Linked DNA regions of Coturnix japonica. The protein of the gene in region 1 interacts with the protein of each later gene in a biochemical or structural test. Links are inferred from orthologs where the notes say so. Each region holds a gene or a part of one and is shown on either strand. Other genes may lie near its edges.

What was found.
Region 2: the proteins of NRIP1 (region 1) and CTBP1 form a complex in vitro, tested with the Homo sapiens proteins (2 studies listed by BioGRID and IntAct). The link is inferred for Coturnix japonica from reciprocal best matches to the Homo sapiens genes NRIP1 and CTBP1.
Region 3: the proteins of NRIP1 (region 1) and AHR form a complex in vitro, tested with the Homo sapiens proteins (2 studies listed by BioGRID). The link is inferred for Coturnix japonica from reciprocal best matches to the Homo sapiens genes NRIP1 and AHR.
Region 4: the proteins of NRIP1 (region 1) and ESR1 form a complex in vitro, tested with the Homo sapiens proteins (4 studies listed by BioGRID, with this or other methods). The link is inferred for Coturnix japonica from reciprocal best matches to the Homo sapiens genes NRIP1 and ESR1.

What each region holds. Positions count from the first base shown.
Region 1 is NC_029516.1:88,468,031-88,472,618, reverse strand, and holds the start of NRIP1 (nuclear receptor-interacting protein 1), read left to right. Parts: upstream 1-1,424; 5' UTR 1,425-1,697; intron 1,698-1,713; exon of another isoform or gene 1,714-1,732; intron 1,733-2,228; exon of another isoform or gene 2,229-2,412; intron 2,413-4,588. UniProt on the Homo sapiens protein: Modulates transcriptional activation by steroid receptors such as NR3C1, NR3C2 and ESR1. Also modulates transcriptional repression by nuclear hormone receptors.
Region 2 is NC_029519.1:76,821,315-76,825,351, forward strand, and holds part of CTBP1 (C-terminal-binding protein 1), read left to right. Parts: intron 1-2,734; coding exon 2,735-2,941; intron 2,942-4,037. UniProt on the Homo sapiens protein: Corepressor targeting diverse transcription regulators such as GLIS2 or BCL6. Has dehydrogenase activity. Involved in controlling the equilibrium between tubular and stacked structures in the Golgi complex.
Region 3 is NC_029517.1:26,398,886-26,403,538, forward strand, and holds the start of AHR (aryl hydrocarbon receptor), read left to right. Parts: upstream 1-1,698; coding exon 1,699-1,754; intron 1,755-4,653. UniProt on the Homo sapiens protein: Ligand-activated transcription factor that enables cells to adapt to changing conditions by sensing compounds from the environment, diet, microbiome and cellular metabolism, and which plays important roles in development, immunity and cancer.
Region 4 is NC_029518.1:44,222,091-44,226,127, reverse strand, and holds part of ESR1 (estrogen receptor 1), read right to left. Parts: intron 2,026-4,037; coding exon 1,690-2,025; intron 1-1,689.

The DNA.
Region 1 (4,588 bases):
ATTCTTGATTGAAATAGCAGCTAAATTGCTGCAGTAATGAGAAAATTTCCTTTCCCCTTGATAATTCAGCTGCTTAACAGTGAAACATTTTTTGAGATAAAGATTTTTAGAGGAATAAAAAATGAAAGATCATTTCTTTACAAACAGAATTTGTTAATGAGGCTCCCGTGGAAAGGAACAGCAGAACTAGTTGTTTTACTGGCAGCATGGTCTGGTGATATGGTGAGACATTCTCCCAGAGAAAAAGAGGCCGTTGTGTATAAAATGTGACACACAGTAGCTTTAGCAAACGCTGCTGCTTTTCTGGAAAAAAAGAAAAAAAGTGGTTAAAAACACATGATGATGAAGTTAACCTAAATCTTTCATTGGCTTAAAAAAATAGGTCAAGTAATACATTAGTAGCTCTGCTGTAAGCGCATACACAATCCACGCATTCCAAAGGAAAAGGGGTTTTCTCCACATTCCTACGTGCACTTCAGCCGTGGTATCTGTGAGCTCAAGCATTTGGCTTTTCACAAACAGGACTCCCTTTTGCTTTCCTTAAGCAGAAACTCGTATGTTCTTTCATGATATCAGCCTGTTACTAAACCACACTTGGGTACGCCACTTATTTTACATGAGTTTCAGAACCAAAATATTGGCATACGTTAGTACAGATATCATCGTGCAGCGTATAAATGATTTGTAAACAAATGTTTCTCCTTGCGATCCTTAACTTCTAAGAGAAGTGTCACAAAGAGTTCTGCACACTGTTTAAGAAATGCTTTACACAGCATCACGGCTCTCTTTAAACACAGGCTCTGCTCTGTCCATGGATGACGTGGCTGAGGTCATGCACTTTCTGTAGTTCGACTAAACAGACAGTCTGGTGTGGATCTACTGACTCTTCGACTATTCTTTGATGGGAACGGAGTCTACAGAAAACCTTGACTGCTAACAGACTCATAAGGTACTTTCTCACAGCACAGTCCTGCGTGGATGCCCTGTGCCAAGATGGAGGACTAGTTCTCTTTGGAGGCCCTGTCCCAGGTTGTTCTCACGACCTGTTCACTTACTGGGGCGTGGGTCACTCCATGTTTTCATAGGCTGCCACAACCCCAATTCTCAACACCTGACAGCAGAGGAGAGGCTGCTTCCATCTGCGTGAAGCCCCTGGCAGTGGAGATGCACAGGCCGCGGGCTGAGGTGTGTGCTCGGAGCTGCGAGGGCCAGGCCGGGGGTCAGCGGGGCCGGGGGCAGGAGAGGAAAAAAAGTTTTACAGTGGAAAGGCTGCAAAAAGAAGCTCTAAAGCGGTAACCACAGGAAGCCTCCCCACGTTATGCTTAACAAGCAAGGGGGGTGGGGGGAGTGGGGAAGAGAAATTAAAAAAGGTGTTATTTCGAAGCTTTTTTTTATTAAATATAGGTCCTGCGGTGAGTTCGCTCCCGGGGCTTCACGAGCGGCCCAGCAGCGGGAAGGCGGCTGACGGCCACCTGCCTGCCCCAGCGCCCGGGAGCGAGAAGGGTTAAGGAACTTGGCGGAGGAGATGAATGGCGAGGGGGGAGGAGGGAGGAGGAGGGGCCGGGCTGCGCCGCGCCGGGCGAGGTGGAAGGCGGGGAAGATCGCGGCTGCGGGTTAGGCTTTGAAAGTCAGCCTCACAGGCATTGCAGCAGAGCCCCGAATCGCGGAGGGGAGCGGCGCAGAGCTCGGCTCGCTGTGTACGTGTTGCGGGGCGAGGGCGCGGGGAGGCTCGGTGCGTCTAATAGTCGGGGACGGGGGGCTCCGAGCTCGGAGCCGCCGCTGTCCGCGCTGCCGGAGCCCCGCTGTCCGCGGTGAGGCGAGGCCGGCGGGTGAGCGCGGCGGGCGGGGACGGGGCGGCGCGGCGCTGCGCTGCCGGGCGGCGGCGGGGAACAATGCCGGGGTGAGCCGGGAGCGGGGTGGTCGCGGCGGGGAGCGCTTCCGGTGGGGCGGGCTGGAAGTTACCCGGCCGCGGGGCTCGGCGAGCCGGAGGGGCGGAAAAGTTAGCGGCGTTTAGCGCGGGGCCGGCCGCAGCGCCGCTCTCCGCTCCTTCTCCCCTCGGCGTGGATTATTTCGGGAGTCGCAGCCGGCCGCGCAGCGCCCGAGGGGTCGGGAGGCGCCGCCCGGGGCAGCGCCGGGACGCGGCCTCGCTGCCCGCCCTCCCGATGGCCGCCGCCTCCCGGCCCCCGCTGCCCCGGTACGGCCGCTGCTCGCTCCACCTCCACCTGCGGGCGCGCAGCTCCCTGCCCGCCGCCACGGGGCTGCGTGCTCAGCGCCGGCGCTCTCGCGGCCCCGCGGGGACGTCGCCGTTCCCCTTCCAGACCAAAGGTTACTGTGCGGGCGTGTGTTGTTGTCCCCGAAGCCCTTTAAAAGGTGATTTCTCCCTGCGGAACGCGCTGTCGGAGGCTGCTCTGTGTAAGTGTCAGCGGGTAATTAACTTGGAACGGAGCGAAAGCTGGGGAAACGTGGTGTCGGAGCGTGGACGGAATAAGAGGAAGCTTCCTCAGTGCACGCAGCCTTGTGTCTGTGCCGCATGTCTGTTTATTATAGGCTCTTAATTTTAAGAAGAGTTAAGCTAAAATGCTTGACACGTGTTGAAGATGTTGGAAGGGAAAATAATATTAATGAAGCAGCGCGATTCCCGTCTTTGGCGGTGCGGTGATGTTGGAGAAGGTGACGTGGAAGTTGTTCTCTTCTGCCTCATCTGTCTGCAATCCAGGAGCCGGGCTGCCCTGGGCTTCCTTCGGAGGGAGCTGGGCGCAGCGCTGGGTGCTCACTGCCGCTGAGTGGAATTTAACTGAGTCATGGCACGGTGCGTGTTTAGAGGTGCTGTACCGCTCCGTTTAACGGAGAGGGCAGATGTGGTCTGCGAGACGCAGGGAGACTCCTTGGAGAGCTGGGGCGTTCCGAGGGGAGCAGCAGACCCACACCGACCTGAGGAGCGCTGCCACGGGCCCGGCTGATCGCTGCCCGGTGGCACATCCAGAGGCCCCGTGGTACGGGCTCACCCGGCTGGGAGCGCTTGTGGCTTAGAGCTGATCCGATGGCATCTGAGTAATTGCTGCTCCGCGGGCAGCAGGAGCAGGCGCTCGGAGAGCAGGAGTTCGCAGTCAGAGCTGCGTTCGAGCAGGGCTCTGGCTCTTGCTGCTGGGACAGCTGTCTTCCTGAGCTTGTGGCTGAGGAAGTCTGCCCTGTTGCGTTATCAGCACTCGTATGGCCTGAGATAGCCTCCAGAATAAAGCAGCTGGTGGCTTTTTTTTGTGTGTGTGCTTTAAATCTGTAGATGGATGGGTGTATGTTTTTGTCAGCAGGAAGGAAGAACTAACAAGTAGGCACTTGTTACCCTTAGCTGTGTGTTTTAGGCAGGGCTGGAAGCTGGCCTCCTGTTGGACTGCCCTGCCTGTAGCTCTTAGTGATCTAACCAGGGGGATCCCGGCAGTGGCTTTTTTGTTTACCATGTGTGCACAGAGTAAAGGAGCTGTCAAATGCCAAACCGTGCTGCATTATTATTATTTACTTAAATAACTTAAGTGTGTGTCCCCTTCCTCCCCCTTCCAAGTAGATATGGGATAAAAAAATATCAAATGAGACACGCCTTCCTCTTTGCTCCACGTTTCTGCTTCTAAAGCCACAGATACACTAAACGCAGCTGGAGAGCAGAAATGACCAACGTTTATTATAGTCATAGAAAATACATTCATAAAGAATTGAAAGCGAACTGATATTTTTTAATTGTAAACAGGTGATTGATAAGGGTTGGTGGTATCACCTTGATGGTCAGTAGTCTGCTGTACGTAGGATGAGTTCTGTAATGTGAAAGACATTAAAGACTTTATATTTTTAAAACTGATTCACTAAAGGTTGTAGAACTCAGATGTGGGTTAGCCTACTGGTAGGTATTTGCTTGTAGCTGTTATTTAACATTGGGCTGTTTTTTAATTCATTGGTAAAAGCTTGTTTACTTGTGTTAAAGCTTATAGCTCACTTTTTTTTTCTCCTTTTTCTTTTTCCCTGTATTTGAACGTTGGCAAAAGGTTTCTGCAGTGCCAGCTGTATTATTGTTAGCCATGAGAGCACTGTTAATTTTACTGGTGACAGTGCAGGACACACTCAAAGATAAACTATGCCTCGCATTGTGTGGAGCACATGTATAAACTTGCCCAGGGCAAAGCTGGGGAGTTACATTTCCCACAGTCAGCTGCCTTACTCAACCCTTGTGCTCCACACCTCATTGCAGGGCTATCATGGAGAGGGCTCTAAGACTGTAATGTCTCGTTAATTTTAGAATAGCTCTTACGGACTGGCCTGAACCTTAAAATCAATTGGTTTGTGCTTTCATTTCTGGATGAGAACATACAAGGAATGCAGAGAGATACTGACGAGAGCACTGAGTGTGGGAGCCCCAACCCTCAGAGCAGGGTTTGGACACATGGGAGTGGTGGCCAGTTGGTCACACATGGGGACCTGAGGGACTCTCCCCAGCTAAGCAGGTTTCCCAGCCACTTGGTGACAGGCTGAGTGCTTGGCCAGGTTACAGGTGATAGGTGGGATAAATATCCTATGGATGTAAAAACAGGATAAATACCCCCTG
Region 2 (4,037 bases), on another chromosome or scaffold:
GTCTACGTGCTGAATGGTAAGTAAAACTTACAATTTATATGCATTCACATTACTCTCCAAGCCGCAGTATTGGAGACTTGGGGAATTCTCATTCATATGCAATGCTAATAATTCAGTCCTTAGGTTGTGATTAGACTGAGTTATGCAGTTAAGATGCATCTCATTTGTGTATTCCAGTATTTACAAAATATAGTTGTCTCTTTCTAAAGCCAGTAAATGCTGGAAGACTTGCAATGTAAAATCTCTCCTGGTAACTGGGGCAGAGTGGTTGGAGTTAGTATCTAACTCACTGCTCCTGGGACAAATCTCTTCATTTGTTGAATATGCTTCTCAAGGAATTAACGTGAGAGTTAGTTGTAAAAGGGTTTTATTCAGTCTTGAAATACAGTACAGAGTTGGACCGTAAGGTCTGACATTCTCCTGAAATTTCATAGCAACTTTTGGAGTAATTTTCAGAGAGCATAATGATGAGGTTGTTACCAGCTTTTCACTGTTGTTTTCACATTCCCACTTCTTGAAATGCATGCAAACAGATGTTCCTCGGGTGACGTCTTTATGATCTGGCCTGTTTTGCTCCAGATTGTTAGTTGTTGACTAGAAATTAGATGCAGGTTGTAAATGTAACTACATGCAAGTGAAATGTGAATCAAGGGTAACACCTGTTGCCTACTAAGTATTTCAACATTAAACATTGATCATTGAAAACAAAGCACTGGGGAAAGGAGCATAGAAGGAATGGACAAGAGTGCGTTATCTTTTCTGATGTGCAGCATCTCTTTTCTTCAGAGCATTGTCTTTACCACACTGCCTGTACGGTTTACCAGGCCTTTTTGAAGCCAGCTGTTTTTAATGAAGGGGAAAATGGGGGGGGAAAGTGTTCCTACAATTTAGGAGTTAAACTATCATATTCTTAAAGTATTAGGGAGGAAAATATAAGGCAGGCTCAATTTCTTTGCATCTCTTCCCACATATGCGGTATAACTTCTTAAGGTCATTTTAAGGCATTATCTTTTATAATTGATGCCAGCTTTTAGGAGACATGGTTATTAAATTCATTTTGCAATCTAGAGCCTGCATTTTTTTTTGCTCCATGAAAGACCTAAACAAACACAGCTGTTTAGTATGATGCGCTTAAAGAGGTTTTGTATTTTAATCATCCACTTTTTCCCGCATTCATTCTCTTTCATTTTTAAAATATGGTGAGTTTCGCACTGCCATTGATGTTAGCAGGATGCCAACATTAATAGTGATGCTGTTTTATCTTTGTGTAAGTCCACAGAGCAGTGACTCAGCACACACTACAGCAGAGGAAAGAAAAGTAGTTCTGAGCTTCCTTATGTTGGCGGTAGGAAGTACTGGGCCGCAGAATGAAGGCATTTAAATGGAAAACAGACAAACATGCAAGCTTATATATAAGATATAAGCTTATTTATTGTCAGATTATTGTCATTAGTCTTATTGAAATGAATGTTGGGTTTCCTTTCTTGCTTCACAAGACATACTGGTATTAGCTGAAGGCTCACTGAATATTTATTTATGTAAAACCCAAACAGCTTGACAGGGAAAACAGTATTAAGGTTATTTTTATTAGTATACAGAACACTTTTTTTTCTCCACCGTGGAATTATGCTGGTTTTGGTCTCAGTCAGCAGAATTAAGAGAGGAGCATTAATAAGAGCTGATGATTAGAGAATGAACATGCAGTAAATAGAAAGAATGAAGACAGAATGCAAACTTTTTCAAGTAAACATTTTGCTTCACTGCTGTATATTCAGTACTGGAAGGTAAAAGCTAATAAAGAAAACCAAACCAGAATGAACTGACTTACATTCCATTACAATCAATGCCTTTTCTTTTGTTTCTTTTTAAGTAAAAATGGAGTACCTTGAGTCTTGAATGAGTTTTCCTTCCAGCACAGCCTGTGGAGTCTTTCAGCTTCTTGATGTTACAGCTTTTTCAACTATTATTAGGAAAATGCATTTTTAAATTAGCTGAAGTTTAGTGTTACCTTCGCGTTCAATGCCGAAGCAGATTTCGTATTTCAGTATTGAAATTTAAATGAGTTTTCTTTAATATGAGGGACCAAGAAATGACTTGGATTCTATGTGTGACACCTCTACAAACTCCTATGCAACAGGAAACAGATTGTTCCTCCTTGTGTTATTACAACCTATTTATGTCTTGGAAATAGTATTTCATTAAGGTTTATAAGAGTGGTTTTCATTTTAAGTTAATTATTTTTTGTAACACATAGACAGCTTTTGGGAGGGTGTCTGCTCAGTAGCAGAAAGTTAACTCACACAATGAAGTGCAAACAGTGATCTTTACCCTCACTGACTTTGTGGTGAAAGAAAAGCATGTATTTCTTCCTGCTATTCAAAGCACGGAACCCACTGTGCACATAAAGCACTTACTAACATATTGATTTGGTTACTAAGCTACCTGACCTCTATATACTTACTTCTGTGGTTTCGGTTGTCCATTTGTTGTTTGCCTTAATGTGGAGAAACAGTAAATAGTAAAAGAAAAAAAAAATGAGAAAAGGAAGTTTGCTTGTACTTCTTAACTAGTTTGTCAAATGTTTGCCTGTCATTGCTGTCAGGAACATTGTATTAGTGCAAAATAGGTATTGAAATAGCTGTAAATGTAAACGTCATACTCAGGGATTGCTGTTAAATGGGAAGAAGAAAGAAATGTTTGGCAACCTGTTATCCTTTCCACCCATTCTTTGCAGGGATTGCAGTGTGTAACGTGCCAGCTGCCTCTGTAGAAGAAACAGCGGATTCTACCATGTGCCACATTCTGAACTTGTACAGACGAACCACCTGGCTTCACCAGGCCTTGCGGGAAGGCACGAGAGTACAAAGCGTTGAACAGATTCGGGAAGTGGCTTCTGGAGCTGCCAGGATCAGAGGGGAGACCTTGGGCATTATTGGATTAGGTACGTTTGGTGGTGATGTAGTTTAATACTCTTTTCTGTCCAAAGGAATTAAATCTTCCTTTCCAAAGATTTGAGCTATAGAGACAGTATGCTTCACTCTGTTCCATGCCAAACATTCTGTATAGTACCACTTCATTCCTGGTGTTTATATTTCTGAGATATTTTCCCCATAGACATCATAGTTTCCATCAGACAATTTTTGCAGCTGATATTCTTCGAACTCTTTGAGTTTCTGTACATCTTTCTGCTATTGTAATGCCCACTGCCAGGCATGTTGGTTGTAAGGGGAAAAGGCACCGTTGTTTCCCTTCTCCAGGACAAGGATTCTGCTACCTGTACCCAGTTATCGTGTGTATTTGTTGTGCATTGTCATGTCTGGGTCTATTTGTGCTTGTTTCTGTTTCTTGTGTTTGATATGTCTGGGAGGTCTTTGCTGCAGGAACAAACTGCAGAGCTGTTACTTCTTGCATTTGATCAGGCTACGTCTGAATTTGTATTTCAGTTCAAATGAGAGGAAAAAATATATGCAAGAAAGTTTTAAATGTTTCCAGACCTAATAAAATCACCTAGTTAGATTTAGGGACATTCAGAGAGGTATTTCAGCATCTAACAGATGGACAAGCTTGCTTGAAATGAATTCATTACTGTCTGTTATAGAAGCAGAAAAGAAATGCAAGTCAGTTTTTATATAAGAATTAGTTGTGTACCTGTCTTATCAAAGACCTCACAGACACTGAATGTAATTGCCATAGTATTCATCCACAGGGATTAATGATACGGTTTTGACAACGGGGCATTATATTTAAATGACTGTTCCAGTTATACTTTGAAATATCACAGGCCATGAGCTCTCTGGAATTTGGAAGTAGCTTTGTGTTATGTAGTATTCATTGGAATGAGCATGCAAGGAGTCTTAATAGTTAAGGAACATCCTTTAAAATACAGCCTTTAAGATGTTGGTCGTGGAGTGTCTTTCTCAAATCTATATCCATGTGTTAATCCACCTCATTTAAGCACAGAGTGGTTATTGTCATCATGGTCACAGCACCTATACAGAAATAGCAGATAAATCACCTGTAGTGTTTTAAAAAATGGA
Region 3 (4,653 bases), on another chromosome or scaffold:
TGGCTTCAGCGCACTCTGCATCTGGGATAGCTTCCCAGGCAATTAAACTCGAGCAATTAAGCTGGTAAACAAGCGTGCGTTATGTCGTCTAATTCACGCTGTGAGCTTCTGAGGACGAGGCCCATACCACTGCGGGACGCACGGGATGTCGGAGCCGGGCAACCAGGCCTTGCACAATCCCGGCGCTGCTTCTCACCGGCTGCCGTACGGCAATACCTGGGCCACGGCTGACAAACACTGTCAGCAAAGCGGAGCCGGAACACTTGCATAACCACAGCATTGGTTTCAACAGCCGGCGAAGGAAAGCGTGGCTGCCGATTGAACTCCCGCAGCCCGGCCAGCGTCGGCAGACAGGAGCAAGCCAGCACCAAGGACACTGCCTCAGCCTCCTCGCAGCCAAGCAGGGAGAGCGAGGGAAGGCTGAAGCCCGCAGCCCGGCTGCCAGGCGGCACGTGGGTAAGAGCCTGCGGGCTCCGGAGAGCCGGGAAGAGCCCTGCCAGCTCCGGGAGCTCTCAGCCAGGCTCTCCCGCAGGCACCGCCGCTCACGGCCGTGTTTATACAGGGCGACTCCCCGTCTCCCAAGCTGAGTGCGGAGAGAAAATTTATTGCCGTTATTCCGGGGGAAGAGCTCTGTTCTTGTGAGAGGAAACGGAGGAAGAAAACAGGAGGGCGAAGCAGCGGCGGGTCACAAAGGCACGAAGGGGCTCCTCCGGCGGTTCTGCGTGTCGGCAGCGTGGCAGCACCTTGTGCTTTTTGCCACATTGCTCCTTTTCTGCAACATCAGTGTTCATTTCACACGTCAGCGCCGTAACTCGCCACCTTATCCCCGCACGAGGCACTGGCCGCATCCCGTGCCCCCTTCCTCTCCCCTGGAGCTCAGGGAACCGCAGCGTTGCCCGGAGCGCCCCGCGGTCCCTGCGCTTGGTGCGGCCGCGCTTCCACCTCTTCCCCGACTCGGCCGCTGCCCGGGGCCGGCTCCCAGCCCGCTTTGGGAGGCAGCCTGCTTTGCATCTTTGCAGCCTCGGGGCCGCACAAGGCGGGGGCAGCCTCTCGTTCCCGTTCCCCAGCCCAGCTCAATCCCCCGCTGCCCGCGGCGCTCCGCCGCCGTCCCCTCGCCTGACCTCCCCAACATGGCGGCGCGGCCGCCCCCTCCTCCCTCCGCGCCGCCGCCGCAAGGGGCCTCCTCGGCGCGGGGCGGCGGCGCTGTCAGGCTGCGGGGCGGGCCCGGGCCGGCAGCGCGGTGGCGGCAGCGGGAGGAGCGGGGTTGGGTTGGGCTGGGCGGGGAGGCCCGGCCGGGCGCCGCGCACACTGACAGGCGCTCGGCTCGCAGACGGGCTGGGAGACGGTGAGGCCGGCAGAGAGTCTGTGCGGACTCGGTAGGAAGACGCGGGTCCGAGCGGCGCTACGGAGACCCGGCCGCCCTCACACCTGTGCCGTGCGGAGGCGCCGTGCGGGGAGTGGGTGTCGCCGCCGCCGATCACCTGGGATCCCCGCCCCGCGCCGCCTCCGCCTCCCTCCGTCCTCGCCGGGCCAGGGGAGGTGCCGCCGCTGTGAGCGCGCTACTGCGGGCGGCAGGGCCGGGGCCCGCGGGCGAGGCAGGAGCTGCGGCGCCGCCGGGACTCGCCCCCTCCCGGCAGCCGGGGCGAGGCGGGCAGCGAGGCGGCCCCCGGCGGTGCGGGGCGCTGGAGCCGCGGCAGGATGAACCCCAATGTCACCTACGCCAGTCGCAAGCGGCGGAAACCTGTGCAGAAAATGTAAGCGGCTCTGCGGGGCGGGGAGGGAAAGAGACGGGGACGGGGATGGCTCCCCTGCTCCCTCCGTCCCGGCCGGGCACCGCGGCACGGGGCAGCCCCGGCGCGGACTCCCCCCCCCCCCCCCCGCCCTTCCCGGCGCCGGCTCGGCCGCGGAGTGTCGATGCAGCTCCCGGCTGCGGTGCTCGGCAGTGCGGGGCGGGCTGCGGGCCCGCCTCTCTCTGGTGCCCGGGGGTGCCCCGAGATTTTCTATTTTTCTTGGATTTCTTATGAAAATAAATCTAAACCGCGGTCCCCTCGCGGCTGGCGGGCGGAGCGCGGAGGTGGGAGCAGGGAGCGGCGGCTCGAGGCGGCTGACCTAGATCGGGAGGCACCTGAGGTGACAGCTCCCGGCGCGGGCGGCCCGGCCCCGCTCAGGTGGCGGCGTGTCGGGGGGGTTGTCGGTCCGGTCCTCAGTCCGGGGCTGTCCTCGGTCTGCTGGCCCGGCTGCTGCCCCCGGTGCTACATCAGGTGGTGGTGGTGGTTCCACTCCGAGCAACTGCGGGTGCTGCGGATTGCTCCAAGGAGGCCAGAAAACAAATGTTTGTCGTGTTATTTTTAAACTTGGGGTGCAGCTTAGCGTCTGAGTGCTTTTGTATTGTACACCTGTGGTAGATTTTAGCTCTCGGTTTTGCGGGCTGAGCTGCAAACCTCATCTCATGTGATTTTCAGGACAGAGAAGTTTAACCCACACTGTCGACTAAGAAGTCAGTTGTAGGCAGTGGTGGAGCTGAACTCGGAGCTGCTACCAAAATTACCTGTGATGCAGAGCTCAAAAAATCCCACTGTATTTCTGAGTGGTCTTGAAGTAGTACATTAATCACCTAAACTCCAAAAGCATTAAAGATAATGACAAATATTTAAGAATATCCCAGTGTTAATGTATGTTCTCAGATTGATAGCAGACAACTGCATGGTGGGAGCAAAGTCAGCTTGGGTGCTCACTTCTGTACGGCTGGAGCTATGGGAATGAGTGCACACACACAGCCAGTCTACAAATTAATGCAAAAAAGTCTAAACATACCCTTTTAAAAACAGTTCTGGCTAGAAGATAGAGTCATTACGAGAAGAGCAGTGTTTGCTTTTTTAGATTACTCATTTCCAAACAATAATGTAGGAGCAGTGAATCAGTCTTTTCTATAGGTCTGGGTTTTAACAATGAAATTAGTGTTGTCTCTTTGTGAAGTAGAAATGCATCAGTAGTATTTGTCAAACTGTTGGTTGCTGAGGGCAAGTAATTCTTGTAATTGCATAAGGGTGAGCTGTTCTGCCTTTTTGGTCGCATCGCTTAATGTCTGGCTGGCTATTACATTCTTGGTCTTGATTAGAGGATGTGAAACTTTCCTTTTTGTATTACTGTTTTATCTATGACAGTAATCTCTTTCCGTTATCTGTTTTCTTATATTTGGTGGTCGTGCTTATTGTATTAGTTTAACTCAGAGCTTGTTTTTATTACTAATGGAAATGGACTATTGATTTGGGATTTTGCCCTTTGATACAAAATGGACAGATAAATGTGTCTTCTTCACATAGAACTACTTGAATTAGCTTGTTCACCTGTATTTATAAGAGGAGGCATGATTATTAGCCAGTCTTGTTGGAGTTAGCAGAAATTATTCTGAATTTATCTTGCATCTATTCCTTTTTCTCCCTTTTCTTTTCCTAGTGTTTGTGGATCTTGGTTGCTTGTGCTGTTAGACCAACCTTACAGAGCACTGAGGGTGGTAGGAAGGCTCTGATTTCTCACATAGCTAATTACAGAGCATTCAGTGGGCTAAAACGTAGGGGGAGAGGCCATAAGCTCCTGTATCTGGCTGGGGGGAAGGAGGAAACAGTTCCAACACTTCTCCTAGCCCCACAGTGTGGCACTGCCATGATTTGAGTTTGTTTGAAGTGGGTATTTTGTGCTCCCAGTAGAATCCAGAGCTCTTCAAAGAGGATTTTAAAATGAAAGAAGTGATGTTTGCTGGGAGTAGCACCTTTTCTGAAGAGGTTTCTTCTTTTTAACGTTTCCTTTGCTGTAGATGTAGCTGTGAAGGGAGCCTGGTTGTTGTTAGTCTGTAGCAGTGGGCAGCCTGTGTGTAGGAGTGGAAGAAGCTGCTCATGCAATGCCATTCTGCTCGTGGGTTAAAACAAATGAAGAACTACTTCCTGCTTCAGGTGCAAATAACTTTAAGTCATGGCAGTACTCAGAGCCGATATAGGAAGCTTCCCCCTGCAGCCACCCTATCTTTATGGGCCATGTAAAGGACTGGATTCGACAGGGAATTACCTGACAGAAATGTGTTGTTTTGATCCAGTAGGCAGTCACCATATCACAGCAGAAAAGAAAACGCAGTAATGGAAAAACTTAAGAGGCAACTGTTCCTGCATTTCATCTTGTTATCTTGTCATCTGGAGGGGAAATAAAACAACAGTCTGATAGACAACGTGCATTCTAGTGAAATGTAGCTTTCTTAGAACCTCGGAGCCTTCTGCAGATTCCCTCCCACGTGTGGTGGAGCCGTGCGGGTCCCCCTGGTGGCCGCACTTCATGGACCCTGCTTTGAATTCTCTTTCAATTGTTCTGTTTTCTTTTTAAGGTCTTCTGTGCCTTTTCTCTACTGATTATTAACTGAACTGTCGACTTTACATGCTGGTAGGATAAAATGCATTGTTTTATTGAAGTTTACTGGAGATAGATCCTAACATCAAGTGAAAGATGTTATATATCTGTTGTTTCACCTTGCTGTCTTTAGCTTCTTATGCTTTTCTGCCTCCTCGCTCAGTCCTGCTGTGATTTGCTTTGTTTTTCTCTTTTTTCAGTGTTTGGGTAGGAATTGTTTTGCATAACGGAATGAATGTAATAGACATGGAATGGGGT
Region 4 (4,037 bases), on another chromosome or scaffold:
ACACAGTCTTAGTTCCCCTCTAGGAGCTATTCTGGCACTTAACAGGCAAATAAAATACTTTGGATGTATATAAATTGTTGATAAACTTATACATTCAGAAGTTTCTTGGAAAACAAAGAATGCATTTGATAAAGTAAGCTGAGTTTTGATCTTTAGTGGATGTAATCATTTTGTGACACGTAGTTTTATGAGATCTCCGAACAAAAAATAGATCTAAGTTCCCTAACCCTATTGTTATAATTTGATTAATTACATTAACTATCCAAATAAAATATCACAGAATACAAATGATTTCAGTTGGAAAACATATTGAATTTAAATTGTAGCATATTCACATTCAGTGTAAATCAATAGTTTGTAACAGAGTTAGATTAATTATGTCTCTAAAATCAGGAGAAATATTATTTGAATTTAGCTGGTTTTCTATCGTAGAGCTTTAACACTGTGGACATATGTTTATCTTTCAAAAGTATTTTATAAAGACATGATCCAAAGCACACCAAATTAACACGAGAACTTGTTCTTGAACTGAACAGGCTGTAAATAAGACCTTAAACACTGCAGCTTTATGAAAACAAAAATGAAAATCTCAGGTGATTTTTTATAATATGAGAAATGGAACACTCACAGGTTCTCATTGATCATAGCTGGAGTCCACAGAGTGACATGTGAAAAGTGCTAAGAAGGGAACCCATGAGGACTGGAAAAGACTCAGATTTTATGGGTTAGTGATTTTCCAGAAAGAGTCTTGCCAAGTTTAAATGAAGAAAACTAAAAAAATGGCATAACTCATGCAATGAGTTGAGGTCATGCACTCTGTAATGGTAAGTGAGAGATGCGGAAGTGTTCCCTAATATTCCTTTATAAAACAGCTACAGTAAAAATTCAAGAGATCAGAATTCCAGTGAACTTTAAAGTATATATTACTGAGTATGTGTGTATGTGTAGCAAAATTACATATAATATGTGCAATAAATTTTTAATACATACTAAAATGTTAATTTCTGAAGTGGAACATTGTAGACTAACATTTTAAAAGAAAAAAAAGCCTTAATTACCACACTGTCATCTCATTTCACTGATATTAATTAATTAAATTATGTGATGGAATGTGCATCATATATTCAACCAAAATGGTCTCACAATTCTAAAATTCCCTTCTAGAACTGAGGGGTTAAAGCTGAGAAACCAAGATGTAACAAAGAGATAAAGATAAAAACATTCCATTCCAATGGGAAAAAATATATATTCAGAAAATACTTTCTGTATGATTTTTCAGACAAAAAAAAAAAAAAAAAAAAAACAAACAAAAAAAAAAACACATGCAAAACGTCTAACTTATGGGTGAAAAGGTAAATTTACAAATAAATAATACTAATATTAATGGTCTTGTTGGAAATGCCAATGTAATGGCAGATATTTCAAAAAGTTTAGCAACCTTAATTCCAAAAGGTCTAGATAATGAATATAATTAGATCAAATAGACTAGATTAGACACTTTTATTATTCTACTTCAGCTTGAAGGTTTTGTTTTTGTTTAATTGGAAAACACTTCCTATTCCCAAAATTGTATAATATTTAATAGTGCAAGTAAGACAGAATTAATGTACTTGTTTTATATATTGAAGGGCTTCTCAGATTTTTTTCATGTTGAGCTTTTTGTAGTCTGCTGGGGCTTTCTTTCCTTACCTGGAACTCTCTTTGCCCAGTTGATCATGTGCACTAATTCTCTGTCTGCAAGGTTGGTCAACAGGGTCATCATAGATGCTTCGTTGAATGGTCTATTGGGGTCATATTCAGAGTAAACTATGGGTGGCTCAGCTTCCAGCAAGGCACTGACCATCTGTTCTGCTGTCAGAGACAGGGCTGGACTGTTCTTCTTGTTATGTTTAACCACTAGTGGACTTGTCCAAAGGGTGGGAGCTCGCAGCTCTGTAGAAGAAGCCTCCCCGTTCCTGGACTCCTGCTCCTCTCTTTGACGTTTCTGTTTCATCATTCGCCCGCCTCTGCGGTCTTTCCGGATTCCTAGAGACATACAAGAATATAATGAACTCCTTTCCTTGAACACAGGCATTACATAAATTTGGCCTCAGCCAACCAGGAGCTGCTGTTCATAGGCCAGTGGAGCATTTACTCCTGGTTTATTGTCAAGGATTCTTCCTATATGTAGAATCTTACATGAGCAGTTGGAGAGAAAAAGTATTTTTAAAAGTATAGTATCAGAAATAGTGACAAAAGGCAGTAACTGGAAATAAATAAATATTTTTTACAGCACAAACCTTAATGTCATGTCCTAACCTCTAGTATGTAACTATCCAACAATTGATCAATAGCAGCTTCATGACCTGAGCAGGCTACATGTATAGCAGTAACAACTCTCAAAAAAAAATCTTTCCTCAACTTTCCCAATTCTAACTAAACACCAAACCATTACTATGGAGTGTGTGATCTTCCTAGTTAGGTAAGAAACACACAGAAAAGATACCATCATAAGATGGCCTTATACAGCATTAAGGATTGTTGTACAACCAGATAAACAGAAAAAAAAGGGAAGATAATTTCTGCCTCAAATCTAGTGTGGGTGACCTACTGTCAAAAGTCAGTAACAACTGGAACAGAAATTATCTTTGTCATTATTGCACATTTCTGCAATGTGCTTAGTTCCGAATGACCCTGGACCTTTGGAAGTTATCAAGTCTGCCATACTAATTAAAACAACAACACTAAGCCCTTACAGTAGAATAAAATCTCCTTTGTGGAAAGGTCATGAACAAATTGTAATGATAAAGTCCAAGTGTACTCCAATCATAAAGGGAGAATAAATGCTAGCTCTGAGTGGAGGAGGCACAGCTATTTTGAGAGAAGGGAAGGGATGTGAAGGGAAGGGAAGTGAATGGAAGAGAAGGAAAAGAGGAGGGGAGGGAAGGGGAAGAGAAGGGGAGGGGAGGAAAACTTTGAAATCTACTGGCCCTTAAAATAAATGAACATGGATCTTTCTGGTGGGTGGGGGGGGAGAAAAGACAATCTTTAATCAGCTTTTTTTCACACCACAAACTATATAATCTATTAGGCTTCCAATTTTTTGTTTGTTTGTTTGTTTGTTTCTCAAATCCAGTATTTCTTCATATAATTTCTTCTTCGGATTAATGGCTTTTAGATCCTACCAGCAGGTGCCCTCTTCCAATGGTAAAGACAGCATCTATAGATCAGTATGCCTCTTTCATGATATGTGATATGTTAAATGAATTTGTACTTGAAAATTAATCTCTTTAAGTCTAATTCTTTCAAGACCTAGCAGGCCTTCTGAATCTATCTATAAATCTTTCCATATACAGCAAGTTCCATAAATCTTTCATCACCCTTACTACTTAACCTCTCTACATTTTCCCATTAGTTAAACTAGCTGTAAGCCAAAAGTCTGAAGTGCATTCCTGTTCTCATTTTTCATTCAGTAATACCTACTACCACTAAATTATTTCTGTTTAGAAGATGAGGGAGATTCTTGCTATTAGGAAAAAAATAAAAGGCTTATTTTGGAACAATGCCATCCTGGAGTTAGTCTCATTGATAGCTTGCTTCATCAGACTACTCAGTATTCACGGACTACTCAGTATTATGCATGCTCTTCTGCAACAAATATATTTGGAAGTATGCTTTATTTCACTGTAATGTTTTTGAATTAAAATTACCCTTTGAAACACAAATAAATAATCATGTAACAAAAACCACATGGTTCATACACACTAAACATTTGCTAACTTTCCCACATTCCAAATTCTACAGCTGCTCATGCAACCATTTCCCTTTGAAGAGTTAAAAGTATTCTTGGAGTCTCTACTGTGCAACATACACAAAAATAGATGGCCTTAGAATGGACATAATTCAGAAACATTATCTTGGGGTTATAATAATGCTATAAAAGCATCAGATAAGTTAGTTTAGAAAGTAAATAAAATGCAAGAAGTTACCAAGAGAGGAAGAGAGAACAAAGCATCTACATAAATCAGATTATATTAACCCATGAGGCACACCATAAT